Danio rerio: one gene and its partner. The protein of the gene in region 1 binds, or shares a complex with, the protein of each later gene. Links are inferred from orthologs where the notes say so. Each region holds a gene or a part of one and is shown on either strand. Other genes may lie near its edges. The genes, in order: ccdc135 and drc8.

Region 1 (4,457 bases):
ATTATTGTCTACATAATCTTTTTTTTTGTCTAACTTATTATCATAAATGTAACAATTTGTGCTAAGGAAATAATTATAATTTTTTTTAAATTAAGGCTGAAATTAAAACTTTAAATAAAGCATAAAATTAAATGTAAAGAAATATAAAAATTAAAAAAACAATTCAATATAAAAAATAATTGTGGACTGGAGTTTTTAAACTTTTTATCAGTCTTGGACATGTGAAAGATTTGTAACAACATTGCCTTTGATGTATTGTTAGTTTTTGTGCAACAGAAGGTTTTCATTTTTTCTCTCCCTAATTTACTGTTCTTGGTTGTTTTTGGCCTATTGACTTACATTATAACCAATTTTTTTGATTGCAAAGCCATGACACCATATAATTATGCATTTTTGATTGTCGAGGTAAAATTTTTAATTTTTATAAGAATGTAAAGAAATTTAGAAAAATCAATAAAACAAATGAATATTGAGTATTTTATTTACGCTCCTACATACACACCCACAATAAAGGAACAGTAACATTAACTAATTTAAATATAAATGTATATTTTAGCCACCAATGTTGCAATAGTTTAAAAGTGACAGTAATTTATAACAAAATATTTTTAATTAGATGTTTCTTTACTCACCTAAGATTTTTTTCAGTCTTTTTTATTAGTCTTTTGTCTGACAATACAAATTAAATAGTGAGAGGTAACGGTAATGTATTGTCCATGGTTAATCCCATCCCCTAACCTCTCATTCATTAACTCAATTAACAAAACAACAACATCAAATAAATAAATAAATGCCAAAATAAAAAAATTGAATACATGACAAAATAATAATGGAGCCTCGACTGGGTCAGTTGGCAGTTCTATGTGGAGTTTGCATATTCTCCCCATGTTGGCGTGGGTTTCCTCCGGGTGCTCCGGTTTCCCCCACAAGTCCAAAGACATGCAGTACAGGTGAATTGGGTAGTAGGTTAAATTGTTCGTAGTGTATGTGTGTGAGTGAATGTGTATGGATGTTTCCAAGTGATGGGTTGCATCTGCTGCGTAATGCTGGATAAGTTGACGGTTCATTCCCATGTGGAGACCCCAAATTAATAAAGGGACTAAGCCGAAAATAAAATAAATAAATGAATAATAATAGCTGGATATAGATGGTAAAAATAATAATAATTAAAATAATAATTATAATAATGAAAAAAAAAACCTTCTAATAAAATGGTAGAAGTTACAGGTTGCCAGCAGCAGATGTAATAGGCAGGCCTTTGGTGTAACTTAGTCAAGAAAGGAATCTCAACTCTTATAAAAGGAATCTAGTGAGCCAGAGAGTGAGCATCTCAGCTTTTCAAGTCTGATACAGTAAAAAAGTCCTGGATCCACTTGAAGATTTATTATTCTGATTTAAAAATGTAACAATTTAAAATGAATTCAAAATAACACAAAAGCTGACTCCACCCCGCGCTGTTACGTCACGTCTCCCCTCGCCATGGAAACTAAATTGCGCAACATAAACAAAAGTTTCACGCTCCTGCCGCTCGTTACGTTAATCTACTGTTTATCAGTTAATTTAGATTAGGGACGTATATTCACTTTTATAAACAGTAAGTCTTTAAACTGCTAACTGTAAAAGTAACAAGATGTATGTGTTTAATGTTTCAGTCATCGACCTGCTTTCTCCTCTCTCGTCTGTCTGTATAATTATTGCTTTATTAATTCATTAGATGGAAGTGTTACCGGAGATGGAGAGTGAGGAAGACGCGACTCTGACAGATGATGAAGAAAAGAAGGGGTTTCGGGAACTTGAAAGCAGCCTTAATAATAACATACGATTGACTCCAGACCTTCCACACATGTGAGGTTATTAAAGTTCATCAGCATGTGGCAAACTCGTGTGTTCATGAAAGCTCGCGTTTCTCCACAGGGGCTTCTCGTAAATGGACGCTGGCTGTTTACAGTGTTTGTAATCATTAGCCATAAACATGAGTGGTGTATCAACTGTGGGCTAGTAGACCAAAGTCAAACTGTTTCACTTTAACAAAAAAACTACAGGGTACATTAGTGCACAGAGAACAGGGTCGCGCTTGTTGTTTGTTTTACACTATACTTGTTTGTCTTTATCTGTGCAAAACGTGTTAGGAACATGTCCAGGTCAGTGTTATTTTAGGTCACTCAACAAATAAATTCTCCATATAACAGGTTTTTATGATTAGGATATTTTCTGTTATTATTGAAAGATTTATAAATGTTAAAAGAAAATCGAATTAATATTGTGTCCCTTATGTATGTTAAGAATGTTTTCATCCACTCTGGGGTGATTTTGAGTCATAATTTGGTCATAACGTTCTCTGTGTTTCAGCTAGCAGAATGGTTTTTGGTAATAAATCTTTATTTGACATATTTTGGAGAAAATGCTTTGAAATTAAAAAACAAAAATAAATGTACTGTTCTTTTTTATATTAGTGATGAAAACATCCAATGAAATAAACTGATGTAAAAGTGCATCAGATTAATATTTTTTCTTTATTAATTTTTGCATAAGTCTGTTAATCAACCTCAGTCCTGATCAAAACTACTAAATTGCTTATAAAATTACAGGATTTTAACTCTTTAATTGCCAAATTCATAAATGATGTCACTGATATGGTGAAAACCCCCTACAAAATTACTTATTTTCTATATAAAAAGTAATTGTACACTGGATTTTTAAAAAAACATTTAATCACAGTCTTGGACATGTAAAATATTATTAACAACCTTGCCTATTATTTAATGTTAGTTTTTGTGCAGCAGAAGATTTTCTCTCTCCCTAATTTACTGTTTGTGGCTGCCCCATTGACTACCATTAATCACATTTATTAATTGCAAACTATGACATCATATAATCACGCACTTTTGATTGTTGGTGGTTTTCCCTGTTGGGAAGAGGTCAAATTTATTTAATTTTTATTTATTTACCTTGATGCATTCGTTATTTAATGTTTGAATACTGAAACAAATAACAGACATCGCTTAAAAGGTTATATTTTACCATCAAAATGCAGTTTATTTTATATCTTAATAAACTTTTGATATGAAACTGCTGTGTAATTTAATTGATTGTTAAATATGAAATTATTTAAGTGCTATATAGTTTATTAGTGAAAGTGCTTATTAGTGAAAATATATTTCTGCCACTATAATACAAATGCACTATTATTGTTACATTATCATTGTTTTGTTTTCTGTTCTGTACGGATATTTGAAATATATTATTTATTTCCCCTCCAATCATTTTCATTCATCACCATACATTTTGGTCGTTTTTCACTCCAAGTAAAGCTTGCCCAGAGCCTCGCAACATTTGACCTCTAAATAAATAGGGGTGCTGTGACTTGTAGCCCAAACAAGAGAGCGGCATAATGTAAGTGTTAAGTCATGCGGTTGCTTTCGCTTTTACATATTAAAATGAAAAAAACTAGTGTTGGCTATTATTAAAATTTCTTTGTACAAAGGGAGCCGTTTACATTACGTTACCAAGGCAACTACTGATGTGTTTTATGTAACATTTCAAAGAGCTTTGTTGCAGCACGACAGTGGAAAATGAAACCATATCCGTACTGTCTGGTCCAGTTTGGCATGGTTCCACATAAAGAACGGTTCAGCACCATAGTGGAAAAGTGGCTTATGACACTATATAATGATGTGTTGGGAAGAAGTAAAGTTTGTCATTTCTAAGGTTGAACATCAGTTGGCACCATTAACACTTTAGATAGATTTATATGGCATATAACAGCAAATTAAAGTGTGTATTTGTGTCTATGAGTGTGTGACCTTACCTTGGTGTCTCTGTAAAAATCAAAATATGCATTTCAGCTCTCCGAACTACATGGAGTAAACAAAAACAACGCCTGTTTTTATGCACAAGGTTTAAAAAATCCAGTCCAACTCCTTTTTTTATTGAAAATAAGAAATTTTATGTTTTTCTTTCGCCAAATCAGTGACATCATTTATGAATTCTGCAATTAACGAGTTAAAATCTTGTATTAAAAAAAACATTTAGTAGTTTTGATCAGGACTATGGTTAGGACAATAGTTTATATATAACAATGGTTTGTTCTGTAGACTATCGAAAAAATAGCTTAAAGGGGCTAATAATTTTGTCCCTAAAATGGTTTTTAAAAAATTAAAAACTGCGTTCATTCTAGCCGAATTAAAACAAATAAGACTTTCTCCAGAAGAAAAAATATTATCAGACATACTGTAAAATTATTTGCTCTATTAAACATCATTTTGGAAATATAAAAAAAATTCAAAGAGGGGCTAATAATTCTGACCAATTGTACATATACTCTTGCTTTGTTAAAATAATTTAGCCTTCAACTTGCAATTTATCTAGTAAAATGTGTGATGTTAAAGACGAAATAAATTACTTATTAAAACTAAATGTTAAGAAACTCATTTGAAAAAGATCGAAAATTTCACCTA
Region 2 (4,510 bases), on another chromosome or scaffold:
GTGGGTGGGAGTAGCGAGGCCCACTCATCTTCTATTTTAAACCATAGTTTCAAACTTTAGTTTACTATATAGTTTGAAATAGAAACCATGGTAACTGTTATGATTTAACTTTATGCAAAGAGCTTACAATGACCAAGAGCAACAGACCCGGATTCCGCCATTTTGAAGTGATAGCGATCGCTCGTCATTGCTGTCGCGATGGAAAGCAGCTGCTTTGTTTTTATTTAATTTATTCAAAAAGCGCGTTATTGTTTCCCAAATTGTAGATTGTCGCCTCATGGTAATTCTATGCTCTTCTGTGTCTGACTGTTGTGATGTTTTGCTTTGTTTTTCAGCTGAGATTTTGAGCAAAGAAGGACTATTGAAGACAACAGTTGAAGACAACCGCGGGTTATAATCACGAGCGCGCGCATTATAATGTTTTCGGGCTGTTTTCTGAAAGTGTGTCTTTGTTTAGATAAGTTTGCATGTCAAACTAAATAAACTATACTCTTTCTAAACACCTGTCTCGTTTTATTTGTCCTCTACAGCAATGCACTGTCATATAGGTCTGTTGAATGCATTTGTATGCAACATGGTTTGACAATACAGTAGTCTAACAAATAAATAGTTGTTATAAATGTACCTTCATTAGTCAACATTTGATGTTATGTTATGATTGTTATACTATATTTATTATTATTAATATGCTGTATGTTTAAAACCAGCAAATTATACTATATATTTAACATGTCATAAACTTACTGTTATTTTAACATTTGCCAAATAAAATGTCCTAAGACAAGAATGGGTGTTGTTTTGGTTTTGTGTCAACCTACTGTAGGTTTTAGGTTGACTACAGCAAGGCTACATACATCATAGGGAGTTTTTTTATAACGGAATAAATATTTCACGGAGATGATTTTACTGCGTGAGAAAACTGATGTGTGGCGTGAGAGCGTGAGAATACGGTCAATTGCGTGACTTTCACGCATTTTGGCAACTCTGAAATATTAGTGTTTGGACTATGTGATTATTTATTACTATAGCAGGTACTATTTAGCCTATATATTCTCCTGGATTGTATAAGTGCTTCTGATTTTTATTTAACACTGACATATTTATACACATAGGTAATTTAGACATGTACTCTTTATTGGTGCTTTCAAACGAATAATCGCGTTCATGCTTGTACAAAGGATGTATAAAAATGTTCCTTACATTCTTCCTTTTCTTCTGTTTTTTTAGTCAGTACTGAACTTTCCCCTTTTGTGAGCAAAAACTTTTGCTAGTCTATAAAAGATGTTCGGCATTTCTTATTTTGGTCGATTTAAACAATCATAAACAGCATAAACAGAAACATTTTTTTAAACTTCTGAAAGCGGTTCCTACGTAGAAGAACCACTTCCTGCCCTCCGTCTGAATGGCGAGTGTGTTCAGGTTACCTAGCAACCAGGGTTTTAGACATGGCGGACAAGTATAATGCAGGTAAAGATGCTACACGTAAAATGCTACGCTTTTTTTACGTTTGTGGGCTTACTGTATGCTTATTAATGGTGTTTGTATTCTCAGCATGACGTGTTTTTAAATACAGTTGCCATTACTACGACTGTTACCAGATCAATGATGTTTGAAAAGTTTTCAGTAACGTTGTTTGTTAACGTCGAGTAGTTAAAGTAACAGTAAAAGACCACACAGACAGCGAACATCTACAGCTGAATTGCTTTGTAAACACACACACACAAAATAAAATAAAAATGCGGAAAAACACAACGTTAATTAATGTATTTTTTATCAGAAAATATTATAATAGAAACTCAAAAGAGGATTGGGAATGCCTTTGATGTATTTGACCATGAATCCAACAAGACTGTTGATGTCAGGTAACGTTTCACTACGCTGTTTTTCAAAATATATTAGACCATTTGTTGATGTCTGTTAGCTTTGTTCTGCACATGTTCTACAAACAAGGAAGACTTCTTTAATGTTATCTGTCATTTTTCACCGTAAAAGGGAAATAGGCACCATCATTCGTTCACTTGGCTGTTTTCCTTCAGAAGCTGAATTGCATGATATCATCTCTGAGGTCAGTGGTTTTGTTTTGCCGGGTCATAAAATGCATCGCTCTTGTAAGTTGAGTAGATCAATAGTTATGAAGTGTCATTTCATTCACAGCTAGAAGAAGAAGAACCCACTGGATTTGTGCGCTATGAGAAGTTTCTTCCAACTATGACTAAGATCCTGCTGGAGCGCAAGTAAGACTGTAATGAAATAAAACAGTATGAAACCCAGATTATTCTTAATGTTTTTAAAAGGTCACAGACTGATAAATCACACAAATGCATCTATATATTTATATACAGTCTAACTCAAAATTATTAGCTGTCCTGTAAATAATTTTTTCTTACTCAGTTATTTTTAAATTGATATTCAACAGAGCAAGGATTTTTTTTTTCTTCTAGCAAAAGTCTTATTTGTTTTATTTTGGCTAAAATAATGGTCTTTAATAAAAAAAAAACATTTTAAGGTCAATATTATTAGCCCCCTTTAGCAATATTTATTTTCGATTATCTAGAAAACAAACCATTATTATACAATGACTTGCCTAAATACCCTAACCTGCCTAATTACCTTAATTAATGTAGTTAAGCCTTTAAATGTCACGTTAAGTTGAATACTAGTATGTTGAAAATCATCATCATGGCAAAGATAAAATAAATCAGTTTGATGTGTCAAATGAGTTATTATAACTATTATGTTTAGAAATGTGTTGAAAAAATTCTTTTCGTTACAGAAATTGGGGAAAACATTTACAACGGGGCTAATAGTTCAGGAGGGCTAATTATTCTGATTTCAACTGTACATGGATATATAGTGCTAGAAGATGAAGCCAAAATGTCCAAGGTATCAACTTGCACGGATCGTATAATTCCCACAGTTCCTACACACCCAATTGCAAGCACATAATGGCATGCATCCAAATAAAAGCAAACTTATTAAAAAATGTTCCGTATATACATCAACAATTGATGTAACGAGAAAACAAGGCGACACAGTGGCGCAGTGGGTAGCACTGTCAGCAAGAAGGTCATTGTTTAAAGCTCTGGCTGGGTCAGTTGGCATTTTTGTGTGGAGTTTGCATGTTTTCCCTGTATTGGCGTGGGTTTCCTCCTAGTGCTCCGGTTTCCCGCACAGTCCGAAGACATGTGGTATAGGTGAATTGAATGAACTAAATTGGCCGTAGTGTATGTGTGTGAATGAGTGTGTGTGGATGTTTCTCAGCACTGGGTTGCAGCTGGAAGGGCATCCGCTGCATTAAACACATCCTGGATAAGTTGGCGGTTCATTCTGCTGTGGCGATAAAAAATAAAGGGACTTAGCCGAAAAGAATGAATAAATAAGAAAACATTAATTAAACGCTTACCTTCTCTTCGATAACATTGAGGGAGCAGGGCTTTTTAAAATGTTCTGCAATCAATGACCAGAGAGCAATGGAAATATTTGGATTTCCCTTTTTCTATATTTGGCCTGTGTGAGCCAAAATCTCACTAATAAAATGTGTTGTCGTGTCTAAAGCAGACAAATGTTTTGCCTCTACATGTAGATGTGCTGGGGGTGGATTTAAACAATATGCAAGTTAATCGGCCGCTCAGGGCCCCAGTTAATCTGAGGGCTCCCAAATAAATACCTAGAATTATAAATTATACATATAAATATTATATATAACATTGCTTTCTATCATATTTTCCCCTACCTTCAATCATGGACCAGTTCAGCTGTCAAATCAGTAAAGATTTAGTTTTAAAAAACGAAATTGTTTATTTATAGTGAATTTATCTTAAGAAAACAAATGATTTAAAAAGTTTTATAAGGTGCTTTACATGTTATTATTATTTTGCATTAAGATAAAATGTAGAAAAGGAGATTGATTGATATAAGAAATAACAGCAAAATAATAATAAAAAAATTAAAGTACAAAAGGTGCCTTTTAGAACTTTTGGGTCTAATGGCTGGAACAGCTTAGGGCCCCAAAATCACTAAATCCATCCCTGAGACGTACAGTATATGACTATAAGTGTTTTAACATAATTTGCAGTACCTGTAAAAACTTAAAACTAAAATAAAATAAACATTTGATTAAATAAATATTTACTTTGCTAAAGTTTTTCCCACAATAAAATTTAATACAAAGCCTAGTATTAGTGATAATTGTAGCTCTGCTTCTTTCTTTTTTCTTGCAGGTTTCGTCCTATTACAGAAGACCTGCTCATACAGGCTTTTGAGGTGAGGCTGTTTTGTTTTTTAATTTTTAATGTGTGAATTTACCTTGTTAACATGTGAAACTTTTAGCAGTGTCAAAGACACTATGCAAGACACCTAAGACCAGTGCATTGATTTAATGGACTGTACTTTAATCTAATCTTAAAGGTTTTAGATCAACAGAAAAAAGGACACCTGGAACCAGCAGAACTGGCCAAATACTTAACACAAGAAGGTGAGACTATAACAAAGTGTTGTCCTGGATTTTAAG

The links.
Region 2: ccdc135 (region 1) and drc8 share a complex: the UniProt entries of both Homo sapiens proteins name them as parts of the nexin-dynein regulatory complex. The link is inferred for Danio rerio from reciprocal best matches to the Homo sapiens genes DRC7 and DRC8.

Annotation. Positions count from the first base shown.
Region 1 is NC_133200.1:14,661,365-14,665,821, forward strand, and holds the start of ccdc135 (dynein regulatory complex subunit 7), read left to right. Parts: upstream 1-1,488; 5' UTR 1,489-1,594; intron 1,595-1,714; coding exon 1,715-1,845; intron 1,846-4,457. UniProt on the Homo sapiens protein: Component of the nexin-dynein regulatory complex (N-DRC) a key regulator of ciliary/flagellar motility which maintains the alignment and integrity of the distal axoneme and regulates microtubule sliding in motile axonemes.
Region 2 is NC_133192.1:12,696,714-12,701,223, forward strand, and holds the start of drc8 (dynein regulatory complex protein 8), read left to right. Parts: upstream 1-1,429; 5' UTR 1,430-1,445; coding exon 1,446-1,467; intron 1,468-1,777; coding exon 1,778-1,862; intron 1,863-1,992; coding exon 1,993-2,065; intron 2,066-2,154; coding exon 2,155-2,234; intron 2,235-4,220; coding exon 4,221-4,263; intron 4,264-4,407; coding exon 4,408-4,474; intron 4,475-4,510. UniProt on the Homo sapiens protein: Component of the nexin-dynein regulatory complex (N-DRC), a key regulator of ciliary/flagellar motility which maintains the alignment and integrity of the distal axoneme and regulates microtubule sliding in motile axonemes.